Drosophila melanogaster: one gene and its partners. The protein of the gene in region 1 purifies or fractionates together with the protein of each later gene. This does not show direct contact. Each region holds a gene or a part of one and is shown in the gene's direction. Other genes may lie near its edges. The genes, in order: GstS1, ND-18, TpnC4 and CG6330.

Region 1 (7,728 bases):
CGTTATTAATAGACCGCAAACTGGTTATAGCCGCCTAATTGGGCATTTAGCATCGTCACATGCAAGTTTCATTGTGTTTGACTTTGGCTACCTTTTAACCCGAGTGCAACAAAGGGTATATTGCTTTCGTGCTAGTCTTAAACAGCAATCTACACTTGGAGGTCTATCTAGTATTTTTTCAGTTGGGGGATCAACTCTACTTTTTTTCGTAATAACAATCGGGAAGTATTCGGTCGATCAATTTCTGATTCACTCTGTTATCTTCACCCACTCCACTGCTTATCGTCATTTATAATATTTGAATGGGTTTTAAAGCCACTTCTAACATTTATAAAGTATGGCAATCATAAACGGGTACATTTTCACACAACTACATCAAACTACTTTAACCAAAATCGAAGCTATGGGCGAATAATAGCTAAACAAATAGATACGTGGAAACCTTGAATTGGATAATACGATTTTCGCCCATCAGCAGAGTCAGCTAACAAAATAGAGTTTATGTATTTAGTCAGCCGATTACAAAGATAAAGGCACACAGAATAGTGGCTTTAATGGCTTAAAGTGGCGAAAACCACTCATTACCGACACGAGTCAGTACGAGTTTGAAGCAAAACAGCTTTGGAGCCAGCACTGATTCGGGCGAAAAGTGACAATTTTTTTGTGTATTTACTCAATTAAAATTGGAGTTTGATTTTCAGGTTTTGCACAGTTCATAATTTGTGGGCACGTGTTAATGAGACAGTTTTTGTAAGCGCATGCAGACGTTTCGTGTTCGCTTTGAATTTAGATTTCTTCACTAGCTGCCATTCGAGTTCACTTGCCAATTTCGGCACTTACATTGTTCGCTATTTATCGGTCTTTTGCCGCGCTTTAAGGTCACGGCTCACGCTGCGTATACGCAATGTGGACTTCAAGCGATCGCCCAATTGGAAAACATTCACCAACTCGCGCAACGTTCGCTCACCTGCGCATTTGAATTCGCACTGAAGGTGGAATTCGCAGTGCAGCAAGTGCGAGAATTATCGCCTCTCCCGATCTCACTGTTTCTCTCTCTTTCCATATAGCACCCGTCTATAACTTTTACCGCTGCCGCTCCCGCCGTCTGGTTTTAACTGTTCGCCCGCCGAGTGTTAGTTATAATTTTTTTATGCGCTCGCTTTTTTATTATTTAGATTGCTCTCGCGGGCTCGTCGGTTCCGTTCTGTGTCGCATTTTCCACAGCAAATTATTGTCATAATTCCGCCGCTCATTCTTCGTGCTGCTTACTATTCTTTTTTTTTTACTTATTCCTGGAGTGCAATTGCAGGCGGCATAAATTCTTAATTAGTGCAGGCCACACAGCAAATAATTTTATTTAATTGCAGCCATAGTCATGACCATAAAATAGTAAACTACTTTCAATCCATAAACGTTAAAATCATACATCTATGCACTTTATTGGAAAATATTTTATAGCACGTTGTTAGAACATAAAATTTTATAGCAAGCTTCAAAATGCATAATTGCAGAAAAAATCCATTAGGTTTAAACGTAAAATTTCTGCCTGTGCATAAAACTTAGTGGTCTTCGCCAAGAAAGAAACGAAAAAGAATGCGGAGAAAATTGGCGCACAACCAGGCAGTCTGGAAAACCTACTTCAAAAACAATAACGAATCGAAAATTTCCCTCACTAGCGAGCAGTGCGTCAAAAAAAACTTCGGACTTTTTTTTAAGTCTCAGTTAGAGTTATTCATGGTGAGTCCGCTGCGATTTGTCATATATTCTCCACCTGTTTCACTCGATTATGCACTCGTCAGCGTGTTCGAAATGTCTGTCTTATCGTGAACGATTGTCATATCTTATCAATCGAGGTCTGCTCACAATCGAAACCGCCAACGCAAAACGAAGAGCTGAATACGCGCCATCGCATTAAAGGCCACAAATCGGTCATTTTCTATGGATTTTCGCGTAATTCTACGAGAATTCTGGGCTCGATTTTGTGGGGGATTTTTGCTGTTTTCTTACTTGTGCACCGATTCGCTTATCTTTGCACATTTTCGAACGTACGCCGCCCAGCCAACACAAAAACACACAAATAGTGCCCGAATCGCATGGAATGCTTCTTTTCCAGCTGTGGGAGTCCCATGGCTGCGAAAAGCTGGTGAATTCGATTGCGTTTTATGGTAGTTATTTGGGTAGAAGCAAAGATTGTGTGGGTACAAGATGAAAATTGTAGGAGTCCCATCAATTCACAGTGAATAACACTTAATCAAGTTTTTTAATCAATTAATTCAATTTTATACTATTTTATGTCAAGTGCTAAGCAAACGGCAGTCATTTTCAGCTAATGATAAGATATGAGCTAAGACCTATTTAACTAAGTGTAACTGACCTTCTAACTTAATTTATGGCAATTAATAAATTTCATTAAATTTTGATACAAGTAAACCCAATTAACAAATCATATTTTCGCGCCAATATTCAAAATTTAAACTTACCACACTTTTCTAAGTCGAATTCGCCGCAATTCGAGCCACACTTTTCTAAGTCGAATTCGCCGCAATTCGAGCCACTAACAGCTAGCCAAGCACACAACCTAAATTAGTGCGGCTTCTAACCAACCTTTTTATTATCAAGTACCGCAACCATGCAAAGAGTTGCCAGAATGTTAATTTCGAACATTTACGTTACAAGTTGAATTTGTCATTCAAATGTTTAAATTTTTAAATGGAAATTTTGCCTTCAGCAAATATGCCTAAATTAACAGGTTTAATTAAAATAATTTTACTTATTTTACCGATATTTATAAATGCAATTAGAAAAGATATGAAAGAGCCCCCGTTAAGCTATTCAAAAACAAAACAATGTGCAACATGTTTTAAATGCTTAAATAATTTTAATTTGATATAATTCACAAGCGTTATACATTTTTTCCCTTAGACAACCCTATGAAGTGAACCTGATGCTTCCCACATAAGTAAACATCTTGGATGCACTCGAATTTCGTCGCCAGGCACCGCCAGTCTGGATCGAACTAAGCAAAGTCCAGAGCACCGCGATTGAGTATTGGGCGTTTCAAATTTCCTGGCTAATTTCTCACAATCAGTTAATGCTAACAAAAGTACTTATGCGGCGGATAGTTCCTAAGAATGTGGGAGTATGACTTTAAGATACGATAAACTTACTTAATGCAAATAGGAGTAAGATTGAAAGTTAATAATTAGTTTTAGGTACCCATAAGATGTTTTTTTCTTCGGCTCTCAAAATCTGCTTTATTTAGTTTTCGTTCTTTAAACTATGTATCTTTTAAGTGGGCAGTAAACAAGCTTCATCCACTAAAAGCCCAAACAAATATTTACTGCCTTTTTTTGCTACTATAATTGGTTTATTACTGAGCTGAGAACCTCTCCCAAAGAGATCTATTTAAATGCCGACTGAGAGATTTTAAGAACAGAGAGAGAGTTCCATTTTGTTTATGAAAAGCTAATTGCCAAATTGGGAAGCCAAAGCCTGCTGGAATATTGCATTCCATTTAAGAAAAGAGGGTAGGAAGAAGAAGAACTGGAAACGTGGCTAAATATGTTAACTAATTCATTAACTTCGTTTCCTTTTCAACGCCCACTGGAACTAGAATCAGAGAGAGAGAGAGAGAGAGAGAGAGAGAGAGAGAGAGAGAGCCAAACTTAAAATTAAAACACTACCTTTTTCCAGTTAACCGGCCGGCTTACACACACAGTCAAACGCCTGAAGCTTGAAAGAGAGTGTTTGCTTGATGAGAGCGGCAAGCGTATAAAAGCAGCGTCGCCGGCAGAAGAAAGTCAGTTGCAGTGCAGTCGTCGTGACGATCGGTTCAGTGATAGCTTCCCAGTGGCTGGAGAGAGTGAGAGTAGAGAGTAACGGAAAGAGAGTGCGAATCGAACCGAACGCTATTCCTTCGCCCACGATTTAAGTGAACGCTTATTAGCGAATTGAAGACCCGAGAGCCCCAGTGCCCAGCTGATTTCGTATTCTTTGTTGAGGTAAGCCAAGGAATCCCTGGAACCACCTCATTTCGTAGCACCTTAGTGATGTAATTACGCACCAAGATTTACCCTTGCCAAAAAGTGGAAAACGCTTTTGCGAACTTCGATGCCGAATGGTGTTCGTCTCGAATCGGTTCTAAAATTACACACAATGGTTTTTTGGCTTCGATTGATTTGATTTGATTTTTGGGTCAATCGATTCGAAATCGAAAAGTTTTGAACTCGTTTCGCAGAATCGCAGTTCGCGCGGATCTCTCGCCTCGCTCGCAAGCAAATATGTGAAGGACAACGACGTTAACCGATCAACTAGAAGCCCTCTTCTTCTGCCTCTTCAGAACCGATCAGATCGGAATAGAAATATAGAAACGACCATAGCACCTCCGTCGACTGTGGAGTGCGTGAACGTATTTCGAAGCGTGAGGTACTCGAACCGGAACCAACTTGAGTGTAGTGCATATTCGGGATCTTATCCAAACGCAGGCTTACATAACCCCTATTTTAATACCTTTTCAAAAAGGAATAATTGAAATTCAAAACAAAATTATTTAGCAACAAACAAACAATCAGTTATATTTTTGAACTGATATGCCTCGGGGCTAGGGGTCCCAGACTTTCAAATTCTAGTGATAACCCCCCCGATCGGCGAGTTCATCTGGAAATGTTGCCCATATGGGCCGGGTGCACGTGAATCTCTTCAGTGCCCATTGACGCACTTTGTGTGCCTCCACTGGGTCCTTGACCCGCTGTGATCCCTGCCCTTTCCCATGGATTGGATAATCTAGGTGTCATTATCTTCCCTAACCTTTTCCCACGATTAAAGTGAAACCATTTGCCACGATTTTAGTGCCGTAGTGCCAGATCAAAGAGCCAAAATAGATCAGAGAATCGAAATTTAATTAAATCATGACACCGAAACACCGAGACAGACCAAATTAAATTCAATTGAAGCTGTCATGGCAACAAGTGCCAGCAAAAAAAAGGAAGAGCACTACGGCGAAACCAGAAGATAACACCGAAAAGTCAAATCGATTGTTGCAATTTGAGACTCTCCGAAAGCGAAAATTGCAGCGGAAGAGGCGGCCAATCGGCCATTACTAAACGGTGATGGGGTTGGGGAGGGGATCCGAAGTCTTGGTGACTGACTGGGCGCCCTGCCAAAATGATGGCAAAGGCAGAGACACCATGATTCCTCAGCCAAATCGAACGAAAACGGGTTTACGCTCTACATGGACCCCATTGCACACTGAATCCGTTTATCCAGCGAGGCAAAAAGTGCCGACGACAATGGAAACAGGGGCGTAGTATCCGTACCTCCTCCGTCCTACGATTCTTCCAGCAGCGCCAACGCCCCAAAAGATATTGATTCCGACTTTTGCGCGATTCAGCGAAAAACATAAGGGGACCAAAAGTGGGCAGACGGGCGGAGGAGTGGTGTCTGTTTCTTTGATATGCGTGGGTGTGTTGTCTGTGCGGCAATCGATGCACTTCCGGTGGGTTCTATGGGGAAATACTCTTGCGTTTCAGTATATATCTACTATATATATTGCAATTTTATGGTAATTATATTTTCTGTCAACTTTTGCCTTGACTCCGCTTGATTTATTGCATTGTTCTTGAAGAATAGCCTCATAAGGCATGCAAGCAAACATGGCTTTCGAACTAGCGCAAAATTAGCTAGTAGCTTATAGAGTATATGTAGCTTACCCCCAACGGTTTTTATATCATTTGTTTAAACCACTTAAGAATATTCGTAGCCTTGTGGACACACTTTATCGTGGATCGTGGAAGTTATACGACACCGTAATATATCCTTATCACTCACGCATATTCTGGCCCACTTCAGCTAGAAACGTTTGGCGCGTTCGCCTTATCATAAAAATCAGGCTATCGACTGATTAACTGAGTTTAATAAGCCAGCAAACGTAAACAAAAACTACGAAAGTTCTGGAAAACTAACCAAGGCTATTTCAAAACGGCGTGAAATGGCTAGCACTCTAAATTATTGAAGTTTTCAACATATGTATATCTAATCTGATAGCCAAGAAAACATAATGGTTACCAACTTTCCATATACACCGTAATTTATTATTGATGAATATCAAATTATCGATAGTACTTCCCCGATAAGATTCTGTTAACACACATTGCTCTACTTTTCTATCAGGGAATTGCATTGAGAAAGCGCAGAGATGGCCGATGAAGCACAAGCACCACCAGCTGAGGGAGCACCACCAGCCGAGGGAGAGGCGCCACCACCCGCCGAGGGAGCCGAGGGTGCCGTCGAGGGCGGAGAGGCCGCTCCACCAGCAGAGCCCGCCGAGCCCATCAAGCACAGCTACACGCTCTTCTACTTCAACGTGAAGGCGTTGGCCGAGCCCCTGCGCTACCTGTTCGCCTACGGCAACCAGGAGTACGAGGATGTGCGCGTCACCCGCGACGAGTGGCCAGCCCTGAAGCCCAGTGAGTGCCATAGTCCATCATTGAGTGGTCAGTGGACTAACCATAATCTACTCTGTCTCATCCAATAGCCATGCCCATGGGACAGATGCCCGTGCTGGAGGTGGACGGCAAGCGTGTGCACCAGAGCATTTCGATGGCTCGATTCCTGGCCAAGACTGTCGGCCTGTGCGGCGCTACTCCGTGGGAGGATCTGCAGATCGACATTGTCGTTGACACCATCAATGACTTCCGTCTAAGTAGCGAACAATGTGTGCCTCAGTTTCATGTTCAGTGTCCTTGATTAACTCTGGAATTTTTAATGTATAGAAATTGCAGTCGTCTCGTACGAGCCGGAGGACGAGATTAAAGAGAAGAAGTTGGTCACCCTGAATGCGGAGGTCATTCCATTCTACCTGGAGAAGCTCGAGCAGACCGTCAAGGACAACGATGGTCACCTGGCTCTGGGCAAGGTGCGTGCTCAAATGAGAACTTGAAACCATACACTCGTTAATTTTGAATGAACAATACTAAGAACCATCGATTCCTTTCACCCACAGCTGACCTGGGCCGACGTCTACTTCGCAGGCATCACCGACTACATGAACTACATGGTCAAGCGCGATCTGTTGGAACCCTACCCAGCTCTGCGCGGAGTCGTGGATGCCGTCAACGCTTTGGAACCGATCAAGGCCTGGATCGAGAAGCGCCCCGTCACCGAGGTCTAAGTTCACCGAACAGGACTTGGGAGGATGGGAAAGCATTGCACAACCACTCAGACACAACCGCACCGCAGAAATGCACACCACCCACATCTGCACACATTTTGTTCCTTTTTGCGGAGGATCCGAGAGGACGGCGGATTTTCGCACGGGGTCATAAACGCGTAGGAGTTTAGCACGTATCACTATGGATAAATCGTATTTGTTCTTAATTTCTTGGTTATAATTCTCTTTGCATGGCGCTATATACATATTTCTATTGGGGTCCGGCAGCGGATCGCCGTTCGTTAGCTTCTTCTGAAATGATGAAAGATAATACTTATTGCACAGTTTATAATATTTTGGCTTACTTTTAGAACATACATTTAGCGCACCTATGCAGACATTTGCTGTACCTATATATATATATATATGCATAAAATACAAAAGCTACGAGTGGTTCATCTTATAGGCGTATTCTATTGCAATTTATTCAATGCGGAGGGCTCAATAAATATTTAAAACAACACCAGCTAAGGCTGAGAAACAATTACAAATTCTTATTTTGTTTTTTATACAACACGCCA
Region 2 (3,445 bases), on another chromosome or scaffold:
TGAACTTGTTGCGGTAGAAGTTTCGCTTGTAGTTCTGGAACTCCTTCAGAAGAACCGCGTTCTCGTCGGAGCAGTCCTCCTCGCTGTCGTCATCGTAGAGCTGTGGATGGGAAGGCGGCATTGAGCGGACGGAAATGACGGGATGGCGGTCAGTGCAGAGAGTTCATACCAGCATGCTCTTGTTGATGAGGGCTCCGAGATCGGAGTCGAGGTTTTGAGACTCGGTGATCTCGCCGACGTCCATGTCGAACGCCTCTGATTTGTTGTTCATGTACTTCAAGTCGTCGGCGTGCTCCTTGAAGTGATCCAGCTCCACCTCGGTGAGGGCCGATATGAAAATCTGCAAGCGGCGCAGGTTGAGCTTGCCGTTCTCGTTGATGTTGCCGCCGAGGGTCGGGTAAATGCCGATGTAGGTGCGGTAGAGCAGCGGCAGTGCATTTGATGAAATGTGCAGGCACGGCAGGTGGGGAATGAAGTCGTTGCCGACCAAAAAGCCCATCAGCACCCAGTCGTCGATAAGCTGCGCAATGTCCAATTTGTGCTCGTCTGTTCTCAGGGCGTCGAACTCCAGCTCGAGGTACTCGCGCAGCAGACCCAGGTGCAGCAGGAAGAAGCGCGTCTCCTCCACCGAGGTGCGCTTGACGTTGCGCCCGAACTTGACCTCCTCGCGCAGCACCACGAAGTGCAGCTCGTGGGTGCAGAGGCCCAGAATGATCAGATCGGCGTCCAGGCCGTAAAGGCAGTGTCGTGTATTGGGATCATAGTCCGGCTGCGTCTTCATGTACCGAATGTAGTCCATGATCTTGTGCTCGCCCTCGCCGGGCGCCTCCTGGCCACTTAGGATTACGGTGCAACGCTGCCACAGCGGATCCGTCGAAATCTTCGTTTTGAGAAAGGCGCGCAGTCCCTCCTGCAGACGCACCATGAATTCGGTGCCCGGCGTAATGCAGTTGCTGTCGAAGCGCTCGTGCTCTCGCAACTCGCCTCGCTGGGCCGCCTTGGCCTCCTGCTGCTCCGCCTCGCGCGCCGTCCGGAATCGCCGGCTGCGCTGCTGGTTCATCTTGGCCCGTGGAGCCACCCCGTCAACTGAAAGGAAGAAGAGGCGCTGCGGCTTGATCAGGTAGAACAGCTTGTCTACGTAGTTGAAGATTTCCTGGAATATCTGCTCCTCCTCCAGGTGAAAGTGTATGTTGTTGTCGTCCGGATGCGAGCAGTTGTGGACAATGCCGTTCATGTCCAAGTACAGATTGTCGAACTCGGGTATCTGCAAAGGAACCGTACGGTGCATGGCAACATATAACGTGACCTAGCAGCTTTACTTACGCAGTGCTCCCGCGCCAATTCGCTGAGGCACGGATATCGCTCGCTGATGTAGCGAAAGAACTTGGGAACGCCCATGTCGCTGTTCTGGATGGGACTGTTCTGCCGCCGTGCTGTTCTGCCTGGATCAGTGGCAATTTAGATGAACTGAAAAATTTGTGTCTTTATCTGTTTTCAACATGTATTGATTGACACAAAAGTTGCAAGTAGGCGAGGCGTTGCCACAACGTTTCGCTATTGCCATGTGGTAGGGCCGGCGGCATTCCGCAGTTCGATGAATAACTGAAAGAATAAGGACCCTGACCGATTCAAATCGATATTAGAATCGATAAGCGAAACGGGCTCCTTTGCCAATAATCAGCTAATGGTGAAATTAAGCTAAAAGGAGCTAAGAACACCTACATATCTGGCAGCACTGGGCAAATGCAATGCTCATCATTTAAACAGTTGGCTTACAAATAGCATAGTTTTAGTTCTAGTTACTTCTCTAGTTCATCATCAGTGTATTTCATTTCATTCATTTTCATTTTAAAGTTCATTTTACCACTTGAACAGCATTTCATAGTTTTTGCGAAGTTCGAAGTGAAAAAGAAGAAAACTGTTTTTGAACTATTGTGGCATCGCATCCAAGGCGAGGGGCCACACTGTTTCCAATTAGAATAAAAACACTCACCGCTCGCCTGGTCACACTGGCACTGGCGAACAGCTGTTTTCCCAATCGAAAAGCGCTTGTGTTCCAAATTTTACGTAATTCGTATTTTGAAGCCGATTTCTGCCGTGTAGCCCCAAACGCCTAGCGAAATGTCGGCCCTCCGCCAAGTGATGTGCAGAAGCACCGCCTCCCTGCAGCTGTAGGTACCCCCGCCTGGCCGGAGCAAGTGCATCCGACCTGGCAAATCTGCAGCCCTCTAATTATCCACTTTCGCATCTTGACACCGCAGGTACCAGGCCAACAGGGCAGCCGCTGCCCGCTGGGCATCCACCGCCACGGACGGCGGTCCGCTGGACCCCAAGACGGCCCTGGCCCGCCCCGAAGAGCTGGAGCAGCGCAACAAGCTGAGTGGCAAGATCACCGTGCCGACTGCCGTCAATCTCAGCCCGATCAGCGGCGTTCCGGAGGAGCACATTCGGGAGCGCCGTGTGCGCATCCATATTCCGCCCAAGAACGCAATGCAGAGCGGCACCGATAACGTGAACACCTGGCAAATCGAGTTCGACAACCGCGAGCGCTGGGAGAATCCGCTCATGGGCTGGGCCTCCAGGTGAGTAGCTGGCACGTCCACCATGCCATGGCAACCTTGGTCAACGTCTCGTGTTCCAGCGGCGACCCATTGTCCAACATGAACGTGCAGTTCGGATCCCCAGAGGAGGCCATCACGTTCTGCGAACGGAACGGATGGCGCTGGTACGTCGACGGCGCCGCGAAGCCCAAGAAGGAGCGCGTCAAGAACTACGGCATCAACTTTGCCTGGAACAAGCGCACGCGCGTCTCCACCAAGTAGACGCTCCCCGCAGCTAGCCAGGATTATAGACCACAATTATCTGATTTTTTTTTTGCTTTGTTCATTATCTGAGTACCCAAATAAACAGTCGGCTGGACTCAAATGACCACAGCACCATGTAATGGCCACCAGTTTCGCTGCCAATGGAAGCGGCACCATCACATGCCGCTCTAATGACGAGCGGTTTGGGAGCGATGCCTATTGTGCTGCTTCTCGCGTGGCTCTCGCTCCTCCCGACGCCTATCGCCATGTCGATGCCTGCTCGGACTGCGGCTTCTCTTCCGGCTGTCATCATGATGCTGGTACCAATCTCTGCGCTCGTTGCGCCAGTCCCGATGCTCTTGTCGCTGTCCTCGGTCCTTGTGCTCCTTAAAACGATCCATTTGGTCGTTATGCCGCCCTCTGTCCTCCTGGTACCGCTGCCTGTGCTGCGTTTGCTCGTTGTGCCGCCATTGGTGCTCCTGAAACCGCTCCGCTGGCTTATCGCGTCGTCCCTTGTGATCCTGTTGCCGCTCCGTTTGCGTCCTTTGCTGGGATTGCTCAACATACCGTCCGCGGTGCTCCTGTCGGTCGACTTGCTTATGATGCCGCCCGCCGTGCTCCTGTTCCCACTGCTTCTCCAG
Region 3 (6,833 bases), about 12 Mb from region 1:
TGCAAAGTCCTATACACCACCGAAACAATCCGAGAGCAAAATCCAGAAAACCCGTATTCCTTTGGATATTGGCAGTAAAAAAGTGTGGGCGTTGAAGTTTTGCGCTGTTTGTGGGCAAAAGACATTGAAAAGAACTCAACAATTTTTCATATGTGTGCGCCGGGCAGTTTGGGACTACAAACCCCGAAACGGGGTTGGCAAGCATTTTAAATTAAAATAATACTGCTTAAAATGTAATGCTTAACCACAACTCTATATGGACAGACAAACGAACATGGCCAAATCGACTTTGCTTGTGATCCTGATCACGAATGTATATACTCTATAGAATCGAAAACGCGTGAAATACTGATTACATTATATAGGATCAGGGGACAAACTGCCCTTCCGCTCATCTGCAGGCGTATTTAAGATCAGATCTGTTGTCTTTCCTAGCAGTTTTTCGGTTAATATTTTCTTGAGGTGTAAGATGACGGACCATTGCCAAATAATCACACTTTGGAGCTCCAGCAGAACTTGAACTGTAATACTCCATTCAAATTGCTAATTGTACATCGCTATATATGTACCTACCTATACGTAGCTTTTAGGGCCATTGGAAAAGAGTGCTTAGGCACATGCATCATTGGCCCACTTGTGGGTTGTAACTTTGTCAATGTGAGAGACGCCACGTAAATCAAGTTTCGGAGCGACAAGTCATAACGGTCATAGCGTCAACGTAAGCCTAAAAAGCCCAGCCATTGGCTATTTCACCGTATAAGACAGAAATTCGTTTTCACAGACCGTCCAACCATCAATAATTAAAAGCCATGATGGAACTATTGTCTTTCACTGGGCGTCTTCCTTGTAGAATGCGACAGTGCCTGCCTTGGGAACGATTCTATAGGCCCAGCAGTCCCCTCCATGTCATCTGCTACGAGATGTAGGCTGTGTACCACATTATTCTAACGTGTGGGCGTGGCAGTTTTGGGCGGCTTGAGGGCGTTAGCGTGAGTCAACAAACTAGCGCTGCGTCTATGTCTCTGGAATGGTAATCTCGACAGACGGAAAGGGTCAGATCGACTCGGCTATTGATCCTGATCAAGAATATATACATACATACATTATATGGTCGGAAACGCTACTTTTCAGCGAAACTAGCACTTTTACTTTACGAGTAACGGGTATAACAAACAATGAGATCACACATTTTTGAAAGTGTGAAGGTAAAATTGGTTTCGTGAAGTACTTTATCTACGATAAAATCATATTAATTAACAACTTTCACTAAATTAATAAAATATAAATAGCTTTCACCCCATTTTGACACTACGTGATGAATGCACCAACTTCGGTAAAATATATGCAATGGTACATTTTGATACTCATCAATTATCGCGCATTTCTCTTGATTAGGTAGATTAGGAAGAAACAGTAACAGGAAAGGAAGCTTGATTCAGTAAGTAAAGATATCTTAAAGATATAAATATTACTGTGCAACGAGGAACGCTTAAAAATATAAGTTCCGCGTAATATTTATGGTTGAACTGTCAAAGAAAATGTTTGTTATTTCCCGTATAGATTAAGTGTTATGGTAAATCATTAATTTAAGAAATATGTTGCCTTTATGGTATCAAAAATACTTAAATTTCTAATTTTATATAAACTAAAAAATAAAAATTTTTAATTGGATTATTGCTTTTACAATTTAAGGAATAAAAGTTTCGGCATAAAGACCACCCTTACTCTTCGAGCGCTTCTTGCTCTTATTTCCTTATCATCGATTAGGATGAAAATTTAGCCGTTTGTATACAGATGTAGTCGCTTACATTTTTATTGTTAGCGTTCGTTCGGAAAAGCTTTGGCATTTTCCATTGCCGATGAACTTAGCTAACATAAAACACAAATCGAATTGTTTAAAAGCTTGGTGATAATTGAAAGTAGCGTACCCTGTTTCTTTAGCTCCTCTTCTGGGACACTTTTTAGATTATCAAAAATATCGTATAGTAATAGTAATATAGTATTTTTATATTATATTTAAAGGGTTTTCCTAAACCTTAGCGGTGTAATTTGATTTAACAAAAAAAAACTCTTTAAAATGGTAAGTTACGATATTATAACTTTGATTAAACTAAAAATTAATGGAGCACATTCTGAATTTTTTATATAAAATTTACTGTTGACTAAATATAAATATAAATATAATTATTTACCCTTGCTATGAAAAAACACAATTTATATAAATATAAATTCCACAAGCGATAAAGTATAAAGTATTAAGTTTGTAAAGTGGTTGGAAATAAGCTGTCAAGGGAAAGTGATTTTTGATATATTTTTTTTTTTGATATAGATAGTGTCTATCTACGTATGAGACAAATAGGAACTTAATTGTCATCACTGCCGTTAATCTGCAGATCATTTTCAAAACATTAAAATGTAGACGACAACGTGCGCTATGTGGATTTTAATAACCAGACAGTGAAGAAGATATTACCTTAAAATTTTTTAATTTATCATTAACTTAGTATTTATTGCAATAACACCCGCTACCCGTTACTCGTAGAGTAAAAGGGTATACTCTATTCGTTAAAAAGTATGTAACTTGCAGAAGGAAGCGATTTCTACCACATAAAGCATAGACATACATTCTTTATCAGGAACAATAGCCGAGTCGATCTAGCCATACATATAAGGGATATATTGTTCTACATCGCTAAAGTAGAGTCTTCGAACATTTATGGTAAATCAGTTGCATACGGACAGACGGGCTACCGAGCAAAAGTTGACTTCGTTACAAAAAATGCACATAAGAAAACGTACCCTTTTTGTGCATGAAAGACATGCATCTGTATGCAATATATTTTTGGAAATACAACATACCCGTCCACCAAACGAGTATAATTATGACATTACTCTTGTAGACACCAGGCTGACATGAACATATAGTTCATTATCTTAAAGATTTTATTATATATCCATACTTCTTTCAGGCCGATGGAGAATACGACAAGGAACAATTGAGAAGTAGTATAAAATTAAACTTTTATTTACTATTTAAAAAACGACGTATTAGTCCTTAGGAACGCCTTCAAGGCTTTCGACCACGACGGTGCAGGATCGATCGAACATGCTGATGTATCTAGCATTCTTGAAATTTTGGGTCAGAAATTAGAACCACCTGCGGTAAAGGCCCTTATTAAAGAGGTCGATAAAGGAACAACTGGTAAATTGGATTTTAGCCAGTTCTGCAAACTGGCAGCTCGCTTTATTGAAGTTGAGGAAGATGTGGGAGCTCTTCAAAATGAGTTAAAAGAGGCCTTCCGTGTATATGATAAAGAGGGGAAAGGATACCTGACAGTTGCAACACTAAGAGGCATTCTTCACGAATTGGACGATAAGCTTTCTAACCAAGACTTAGATATGATTATAGAAGAAATTGATGCGGATGGATCCGGTACGGTTGATTTTGACGGTAAGTAGTTTAATATAATTAATCAAACATTCAATAATAACGTTTTCATTGCAGAATTCATGCAAGTTATGACAGGTAATACATGATACCCTTAAACAAATATTAGTTCCACCTATGTAAAAAAACACATTCAAACAAAACAATATTATTCTGACCTTCTTTACGGTTTGCCGTTTAAGGGTGAAGTGACGATACCACCCACGTGCAAAAAATAATCAACTTGTATGACTACAATTGATATTGCATATATTGCATAAATTATAAATTCATAATATAAAATTTACGCAAACGGCGCCCGTTTTTCTAAAATAATTCCTGTCCACCAAAACATTTTCTATTAAACGATTTATTATCGTATTGCCTTGTAAGGATGTGTTTTTTTTTTATACTTGGTTTTTAATCGTCAACATAACGGCATAAGCAACATCAGTTATGACCGTAAAATGTTGCTTATGCCGTTAGACGATTAAAAACTAAGTGTGCTAAGGTCTCTATACCTAAGACAAGAGAGAAGACCACAGTCCAGTTATGAAATCCTAAAGAAAAATGAAAAAAAAAAATTGGGCGTGGCAGTTTGAGCGGCTTGTAGGCGTTGAAGTGCTGATGGCAAAAAGTTTTTTGGCAAATCGATAGAAATTGTCAAGCTTATTACAAATTTAAAAATATTATAACATATATTTTTTTTTTTTTGGGTATGCGTGCCACGCATATGCATGGCAATGGCTGGGATCCAACGTAGGGTCTTTTCTTTAAGCTTTTCCGGGTTTAAGGTTCTTAGGACCACGATTCCTGTGATCGATTCTGATCCATATGGGCATGTCCGAATGTATGTCCCTAAACATCTCCGCTTCTGGGGAGAATCCTCTGTTACATCCAATACCTCGTGTTTTTGTAGGGTTGCGTTAATCGCTGCTTTACCGTGCCACTTTTTATACAACATGCAAAATGCAACATTTGGTACAAAAGGAATCAATATTATTTACTGACGTGCCAAATGTTCATTGGCAAATAGGAATAGAGGGATGCATAACAAAAACCGGGTGTTGACTTGAGTGTTGATCACCTTACATTAAGAGATCAGTTGAACAAAGAGCGTAAAGTGAAACATCAATGAGAAAGAGTGAAAGTCAGTAAAGTATCAAACTGATCAAATCAAAGTAAACTGGCTTGTTGTGATCAGACTCAATATGGAGTTGGCTTGAGATTAAAGGGTAATGTCAAGGTCCATACAAAGAAGTAAAAAGTAAAGAAAGAAATGTAGACAAGGTTGGCGATGGTGAATGTCCGGTCCTTTAAAAACATCCACCATATCTGAGTTCGTGCCGAATAGCAAGTTAGATGTACCGAATGTTGAAGTTTGAAACAAGCCAGAAGAGCAAGTAGGCAGACAAAAACTGAGAGACTGTCGTTTATGATAATAAAATGACGTCGCAGAAGTATTTGTCTTCAAACAGAGCCCGTTTAGTTACATATATTTTTGACCAGAATTCATCTTCCAACACTGGAAACTCTTAGTGAAAGCACCTATCGATAGAATTGGAGGCAGATTGACTAAGAGAATAAGAACGGTACATAGTGTAAATAAACAACTGGAAGTTACGTAATAGGCAGCAAATTATGAAATTTCTTGGAACATTCCTTTTAGGTCCAGAGGGGGGGAGGGAAGCTGCTCCCCCTGCCCTACCCTGGCGACGCATTAATTGCTTTGTAAACTTCTATAGATTTGCTAAGAAAGTGTCAACATTTTTCGTTCCCCCTCCCACTAAATGAGTAATGAGTATCTGATAGTCCAGTAACTCGACTAGAAGGCAGATGACAAAATGACACCGATAAAAATTGGTAGAAAAAACATGATATTATAGAATGCTATAGTCCAGTGCCTCGACTATCAGATACACGTTACTCAGCTGATAAATTTAAAAACAATAAATATGCCTCCATATATGGATGTTATATATTTGCCGCCCGAATAAGCTACCGATTGGGCGTGGACAACATGTTTTTGGTATATTTTCAACACATTTAAGAAGTGTGTGTGTGGCGTTAGAGGCGCGACAAAATTGAATTTTATATATATATATTTTTTTATTATATATTTTATAAAATAAAATGTTATAAAATATCAACATATTTTTAAGACATAGATTAAGATTCCTGAGACATAGACGAAGTGCAAGGTTGTTTCTCAATTTTGCCACGCCTACTTTTACGCCCACAAGCAAATCAAAGCTGCCACGACCACACTTTTTAAAATGTTTTTATATTATTCATTTTTGTATACGTCTTATTAATTTCTATTGATATGCCAATACCCAATCTTCACAAATCTGCCACGCCCACACTTTTGAAAAATTTTTTGATTATACCAAACAATTTTGGACGCCCCTTCTAGCACCTATAAAACGACCAAAACTGTCACGCCCACCTTTTTTTAAATTTTTTAATATTTTTAATATATTATTCTCTATCTAATTCTATCGATATGCCAGAAAAATTATGAAAATTCCCATTTTCCCTTCCACTAGCTGAATAACGGGTATCTGATAGTCCGGTAACTCGACTATAGCATTCTCTCTTGTAATTTCAAATATTTCGTTCCTTATCCTTATATTTCGTTATATAAATATAAATATTTTTATAAACACTAAAACTTTTCTCTTCCAGGTTGACCCACATTGCTCTTTTTTGACATGCTGTGCAAAAGCTCAGATATGGCAGACAATGCAAAATCAAAAATACATAAAACAATAATAGCCATTAGTTTTGTGTCAAATATTATAAATAAAATTTGATTGAAATGTATTAGCATCATTTTTCTCTTATCTAATTTAAATATAAACAAATATCGGGCCAAAAGCAGATAAGGCCGATGTACGAACAGACGGATGAACATATGTGGTAAAGTAACAGGTGTGGCAAGGCTGTACTGTTTCCTCTTCTCCTTGCGTTCTTTGATGCTTAACTTATTTCATTTATTTTCAATGTATGGGAATAAAGCGACAAATTATCTGAGATTGGGAATAAATGTGTTAGAGCGTGACCGATAGTGCTGTTGCTGAACGTGGTTAAAGTGCGAAAGAGATACGAGAAAAGGAAATGAACCATGCTAGAGGCGAGAGCGTCAGTTGTTGGTTAGAAGCCAAAGCAGATAGAAGAACTCGTTGATACCTCAGCCTTACAAAATAGATTACATTTTACAGAAAAGATGTACAACAACACTCAAAATCCTTATGAGCCGATATCAAAAGTGGGATCTGTGCCGCACCAAAGACACTAGAATAGTGTCTTTGGCCGCACCCTGCGATTTCCGAGGGAACAGTGGCGTGCAGTTCTCGAAATGCAATACGGAATTTCGATGAACTTGCGAAAATCATGCAAGCAT
Region 4 (5,658 bases), on another chromosome or scaffold:
ATTTCGCCCCTTTTGTTGGAGAGTGAAGGAAAGGTATGGTTGAAATGGTTTTCACAGTCTTAAAGGATATCCATTTAAAGCTTTCTGATTAATGGTTTGCCGTGTGACGTGACTAATGCATTATTCTCTCTTAGCTGGAAAAAGCTTTTCCTCGTTTCGAAGAAGTTGCCAAACATTAAAATCGATTCTGGATTTATGATTCTTACGTTAGTTGGGATAGTGAAAATATCCAGAAATTGTTCTAGCTTGCCATATCCTAAGACGTACTGGGTTACCCATAAATAGATCAAGTGCTTGAGCTCACAATGAAAAGACTAGATCCATGGCAGTGACATTTGTTGCTGCCAGTGACAGTCAAGCTTACCCATGGTAACCAACCAAGTGGAATGACCCAAAGAAACGACTTGAAATGGCCACGATTGCGTACTCATCTCAAATTACAAAGGGTACCTCAAGAAGCACTTTAGCGATGATATGACGAAAACAAACTCGAATATCGTTATTGAACCACTTTTCATGATTTGTGTTGGTTAATGAGTTTTCTTTATTTCACTGCCCATTCAAACGAATATCACAGCAAGTCTCGCATAGTTTTGGCTTATATAAACAACGATTTTTATTTGGCTTTGCAGCTGGCAAAGTCCATCAATGGTAGTTACGGGGAATCGGCCAAGTTAATTACGAGTATGGCCATTAAGTGAATTCCACCGCTGCCGCACTCTGCTCACCGCCAAAATGCGACCTCAAAAACCAAATTGTGAGCCGCGTCACGTACATAGAAGCCAACCTCTCTTTCTATTGCAATCGCGCTGTCTCTCTCTGTCTCTGTTATTACTTGCCTCCCTGTCTCTGTCTGGTTCTCTTTCCCTCTTGTGAATTGCTATGCCAACATAGCCGAGCCCCCTTTTCGACTGCTTTTGACTGAGCTTTGTTTTTGCCTTTTGCTCTTTTCTTTTTTTTAATACCTGGTACTTGCGCGTTTGTCGGGTATATTGCACTATTGTAGCACCACAAGACGTTGTACTATATATGCGTATATATAATAATAATATATGCATATATAATATATAAATAAATTTAGATGTCAACAGTTTAAAAATCGTTTTTGTAATGTATGTAAAAGGTACAAGTTATCTTATAGCCTTACCCGTTTTTATTTATTTTTCTTTCTGTTTGTTTAAGTTCCCTCTTTTCTTTGCTGATTGTTTCGCTTTCTGCTTGCCAGTGTGAGTGCAGGAGTAACTGTGTGTGGGCAATGAGCTCCTCTTTCGTTTGTCTTTCGCTGTCGTCTGTTTATGTATATTTAATGGCCTGACTTCGAAATTAAAGCCACCGACATCGGATGACGCACTGGTGACTGGGCCTACAATAGTGGTAGTTGCGCTGCTCACATTCTTGTCCATGGCGAAATATTTCTTTTTGTAGAGTTACTTTGAGTTACGATCACAGGGTGCCTAGTTTCATGCGAATAGTTGCCAATTGTGGGCAACATTAAAAATAAATTAACCGAATTGGTCTTATTTGCATCTAATTTGCAAATATCAGAGTTGAAGAATGTGTAGCGAAATAGGTATCTCAAAAACCCGTTTAAAATATACAAAACCAAAAATTCCAAGCCAATTTGCATGAATTTAAAGTTGAAATGTTATACTAATGATTCGGCTAATTGGACCTGATCGAACACCCTGTTCATACAGCGAATAAAGCAGCGAAATTGCAATAATTGGATTACGCAAATCCGTTATGCTCGGCTGCAATTTCGCCTCAAGGCTCGTGGCCAATTGCACTTGATTAGTGATGCATAAGTCGCTCTGAACTGATAACAATCTGTATCTATGTATGTATGTATGCCATTCTATAGAGGTTTCTATTACACGACCATACAGTGTGCAATATATTTTCATTTCCACTATCAAATTGCGCAGCATAACTTCCGATTCGCCGAGAAGATTGTCTTATCTACACAGCTCAGCAGAAGCGGCCTATATAAAGGCCGGCGAAACGCAAGAAATTTTTTCAGTCTCGCTCGAAGCGTTGACGTGTCTACACGAGTAACTAGTTTTGTTTTGGCTCGCTGGCTGCTCCTTCGTCTGGTAGTTGGTAGTTCGTTTGTGAGTTAAAGGACATTCGAGAGGTGACATCATGCCGCCCACCATAACCGATAATCAGACGCACGACTTTAAGGCCCACTACGATTGCGCCCACAGGTCCTCGCTGCAGGACGACGAGACGGACGATGCGTACGTGAAAAGGATAACGCGGTAAGGATGCTGAAACCGGTTTTTGGTCCTGCAGCTGCTTCTTAAGTCAGCCGGGGGTTGTTTCATTTGGCGCGAGAAAGTTGCTCTGGAAATTTCTCTGTTTGCTAGCAACAAATAACAGCCGTTTTCTATTGAAAAATGAAAACAAATGCAAATCAAAATCCATCTGCAATGCAGTCTATAGTTTGCCTGATGTCAAATCGCTGTGTTGGCACAAAACCAGCTCTTCATCTGAGCAAAGAACGCCAATGGAAAACAGAACGCTTGGCCAGTTGGCACAATATTTGCACAGACCGGTGGGTGTGACGCCTACTCGATTACCCTGTATTCATTTCAAAGATCACTTTTCATCCTATCCGATTTCCGAGCTCATCAAATCATAATTTATGCTTCAATCGGATGTTTGCCGGAGTGCTTACGAAATATATTCACTTCGCGCTTATCAATCAAGGTCAAGACTACACGGGGTTTTCATTTGATTATGCTAGAGTCATAGACATTTTGCTTTTTGTTTTGCTCACACTTCTAACATGTTTTTTTTCCGACTCCCCGTTTGACGCACTTGATAATGATATTGGTTGGGTATTGGTGCTCTCTAGACCCCCTACATCGCAAGGGGGGTCTCTATAAATAAAGTCACTAATACACGAATCAATTCTGATCCAAATATTGATTAGAAATACGAAATTTGAATCTGTCATTTTGTGGCCATTAAATACTCGAATAGTGCTTACTCACGATTGTGTGACAAAATTGTGTGTATAAGTAATGTATATTTCATAAAAATTAGCTCATAACAATGTGTTTTTGCTAAGCATTACCTAAAAAATAAATAATTATTCCAGCGATGACGAATTTCTTCCTGCCCATCCCAACTGATTACACTTTTGGGGGGCTTGTTCGGCCACCGATTTTCTAGGAAACACTTAGATAAACTTATCTTTTATCAGAAAACGAGCATTTTTAAGTGTGATTTACTTCTGACAGCTGAAAGTAATTAACTCATTCATTTCTTGGCCTGAAGTGGGCGTTTATTTATGGCCCCCGCTGGCGGCGAATAGAATTTAATCCTCATTAATTCGTTTTGCATTCGCTTTAATTGCAGGTACTCCGATGGAACCGTCAAATTGCGCAACTCGAACATTGAGCTCATGGACCAGGATATCCTCTATCACCTGGCCTTGGGCAGCGAGAGCCACGACCTGCAGGAGATGTTTGGCGACGTTAAGGTGAGTGGTCTCTTGAATTATTCATAGTCTGAGGCGGTTAAAGACTAGACCCAGACCTAGACCTTGATTGTTATCAAATCAAGTGGGGCACAAGCGAAACGAGTTCATTAGCTGTTGCCAATTAAGCTAATTATATGCTTAGTCAGATTCATAAACTTAATAAATATATCAATGTGCTAATCTAGTACTGGTTCGATTTGCGATTTACAATTAAGGGTATGTTTTATATAAATAATTATATAGTCATAGATTGCAATACCAGCGGTATTAGTAATTTACAAATCTGAAACACAATGCCGGTTATTCCCCTTCTAAAAGCTCACTCAATTAATCCGTGTCTGTCTTTGACTTTCAGTTCGTTTGCATGGGCGGCACACCAAAGCGCATGGAGAATTTTGCCCATTTCATAATGAACGAGATTGGCTACAAGTTGCCAGCGGGCACCCAGCTGCAGGACATCAGCGCCTATTCGTATCGCTACTCCATGTACAAAGTGGGACCGGTGCTGTGCGTCAGCCATGGCATGGGTACGCCCTCGGTCAGCATCCTGATGCATGAGATGATCAAGCTGATGTACCACGCCAAGTGCAAGGATCCCGTCTTCATCAGGATAGGAACGTGCGGAGGAATTGGCGTCGACGGCGGCACCGTCATCATCACCGAAGATGCCCTCGATGGGCAGCTGAGGAACTCCCATGAGTTTGTAAGTCGTGGCTGAAATATCACCTCAAATGCGATAGATGACCCTAAACACTTGATTTGCAGACCATTCTCGGCAAGACCATCCATCGTCCTGCCAAGCTGGACAAAAAGCTGGCCCGTGAGCTAAAGTCCCTGGCCAGTCCCGATGATCCGTACGATACCATTATTGGCAAGACGCTGTGCACCAACGATTTCTACGAGGGCCAGGGTCGTTTGGACGGCGCATTCTGTGATTTCAGCGAGAACGAGAAGATGGCCTATCTGGAGAAGCTGCGCGAGAACGGCGTGGTCAACATCGAGATGGAGAGCACCATCTTTGCGGCCCTGACCCACCATGCCGGCATCAAGGCAGCGGTGGTGTGTGTCGCCCTGCTGAACCGCCTCAATGGGGATCAGGTCAACGCGCCCAAGGAGGTCATGAACGAGTGGCAAGCGGTGGGTGATCCCGACTAACTCCCCCTCTCAATGGAATGTAATTGAACATATGATTTTTCACCCAAACAGCGTCCGCAGATCCTCGTGTCGCGCTATATTCGCAAGGTCCTTACGCACAATGGACAGCTGAAGGCGCTATTCGGACACCAGGGATCCATCAAGTCACCCCGGCGCTTCAAGCTCGTCCAGCAGGAGTCTCAGGCCCACGAGTAAATGGGATCATGTGACCAGTTCCATCTCATTTCACCTTCTTACATTATATGTGCGCATCTCTCCAGTATACAATGATGTTTCAACATTCCCTAGTTTAGCTCTGATTAAGTTCCTAGCTTTATTTCTGTGTATATCGCCCACAACCTCATCGGATAATTTAAAACCGATCATATTGTACGTGCATATGTTCATATGTTACCACAATTTAATATATATATGTATATCAATAATATATAAAAATAGTATCACTGAGTGTGACGTTCAAAGGTTATCAGAAATAAACGCTTTTGAGATCACAAAACAAATAACGAATAATATAGAAGAATTATGAAATTGTTAATTGTTATGTTGCATATTTTAAATGGGGCTAATCTATTAAGCAAAGATTCAACAATACCAAACAAAACTAAATGCTACATTTCCATTTTATAAATTATTATATTATAATGTATTGAAATTCCTAAAGATTTGTTAAATGTACGTGTTGATTAGTGTTGCTACCGTACACTCGACTCTAAACCAAATCCAACAGCACTTAATCTTTCTCTGTCTAGTTATATCCAAATTAAATGAAAACAATACGATGAAGAACAAAATGCTGAAAATAACATCAATACAATTACGGATAGCACACGATAAAACCAAATATACAAGTTATATTGTAAAAAAACGAAATTTATGACAAATATTTCAACGGTATATTAAAAGAAATTGTAATTAAATTATACAAACCACTTAACGCGATTTCATTTTTTGGTGGCTAAAAGATCATACCAAAACAGTTATTTTTCCATTATTTATTTGCATTACATATGTAT

The links.
Region 2: the proteins of GstS1 (region 1) and ND-18 purify together in Drosophila melanogaster (affinity purification with mass spectrometry, with the first as the bait; one large-scale study listed by BioGRID). This does not show direct contact.
Region 3: the proteins of GstS1 (region 1) and TpnC4 purify together in Drosophila melanogaster (affinity purification with mass spectrometry, with the first as the bait; one large-scale study listed by BioGRID). This does not show direct contact.
Region 4: the proteins of GstS1 (region 1) and CG6330 purify together in Drosophila melanogaster (affinity purification with mass spectrometry, with the first as the bait; one large-scale study listed by BioGRID). This does not show direct contact.

What each region holds. Positions count from the first base shown.
Region 1 is NT_033778.4:17,093,501-17,101,228, reverse strand, and holds the start of GstS1 (glutathione S transferase S1), read left to right. Parts: upstream 1-1,727; 5' UTR 1,728-1,737; intron 1,738-2,922; exon of another isoform or gene 2,923-3,103; intron 3,104-3,693; exon of another isoform or gene 3,694-4,001; intron 4,002-4,251; exon of another isoform or gene 4,252-4,425; intron 4,426-6,168; 5' UTR 6,169-6,193; coding exon 6,194-6,464; intron 6,465-6,532; coding exon 6,533-6,712; intron 6,713-6,770; coding exon of another isoform or gene 6,771-6,779; coding exon 6,780-6,913; intron 6,914-7,000; coding exon 7,001-7,168; 3' UTR 7,169-7,728. UniProt on the Drosophila melanogaster protein: Conjugation of reduced glutathione to a wide number of exogenous and endogenous hydrophobic electrophiles. May be involved in the detoxification of metabolites produced during cellular division and morphogenesis.
Region 2 is NC_004354.4:19,490,416-19,493,860, forward strand, and holds ND-18 (NADH dehydrogenase (ubiquinone) 18 kDa subunit), read left to right. Parts: upstream 1-2,005; 5' UTR 2,006-2,121; coding exon 2,122-2,171; intron 2,172-2,261; coding exon 2,262-2,582; intron 2,583-2,641; coding exon 2,642-2,822; 3' UTR 2,823-2,922; downstream 2,923-3,445. Other genes in the region: pcm (pacman), read right to left, coding at 1-100, 170-1,264, 1,324-1,398; CG12204 (uncharacterized protein), read right to left, coding at 2,993-3,445. UniProt on the Drosophila melanogaster protein: Accessory subunit of the mitochondrial membrane respiratory chain NADH dehydrogenase (Complex I), that is believed not to be involved in catalysis. Complex I functions in the transfer of electrons from NADH to the respiratory chain.
Region 3 is NT_033778.4:5,502,931-5,509,763, reverse strand, and holds TpnC4 (troponin C isoform 4), read left to right. Parts: upstream 1-1,897; 5' UTR 1,898-2,077; coding exon 2,078-2,080; intron 2,081-2,969; coding exon 2,970-3,003; intron 3,004-3,052; coding exon 3,053-3,451; intron 3,452-3,505; coding exon 3,506-3,526; intron 3,527-6,115; coding exon 6,116-6,120; 3' UTR 6,121-6,327; downstream 6,328-6,833.
Region 4 is NT_033777.3:26,949,607-26,955,264, reverse strand, and holds CG6330 (uncharacterized protein), read left to right. Parts: upstream 1-2,010; 5' UTR 2,011-2,142; coding exon 2,143-2,261; intron 2,262-3,366; coding exon 3,367-3,490; intron 3,491-3,845; coding exon 3,846-4,193; intron 4,194-4,255; coding exon 4,256-4,627; intron 4,628-4,696; coding exon 4,697-4,840; 3' UTR 4,841-5,142; downstream 5,143-5,658.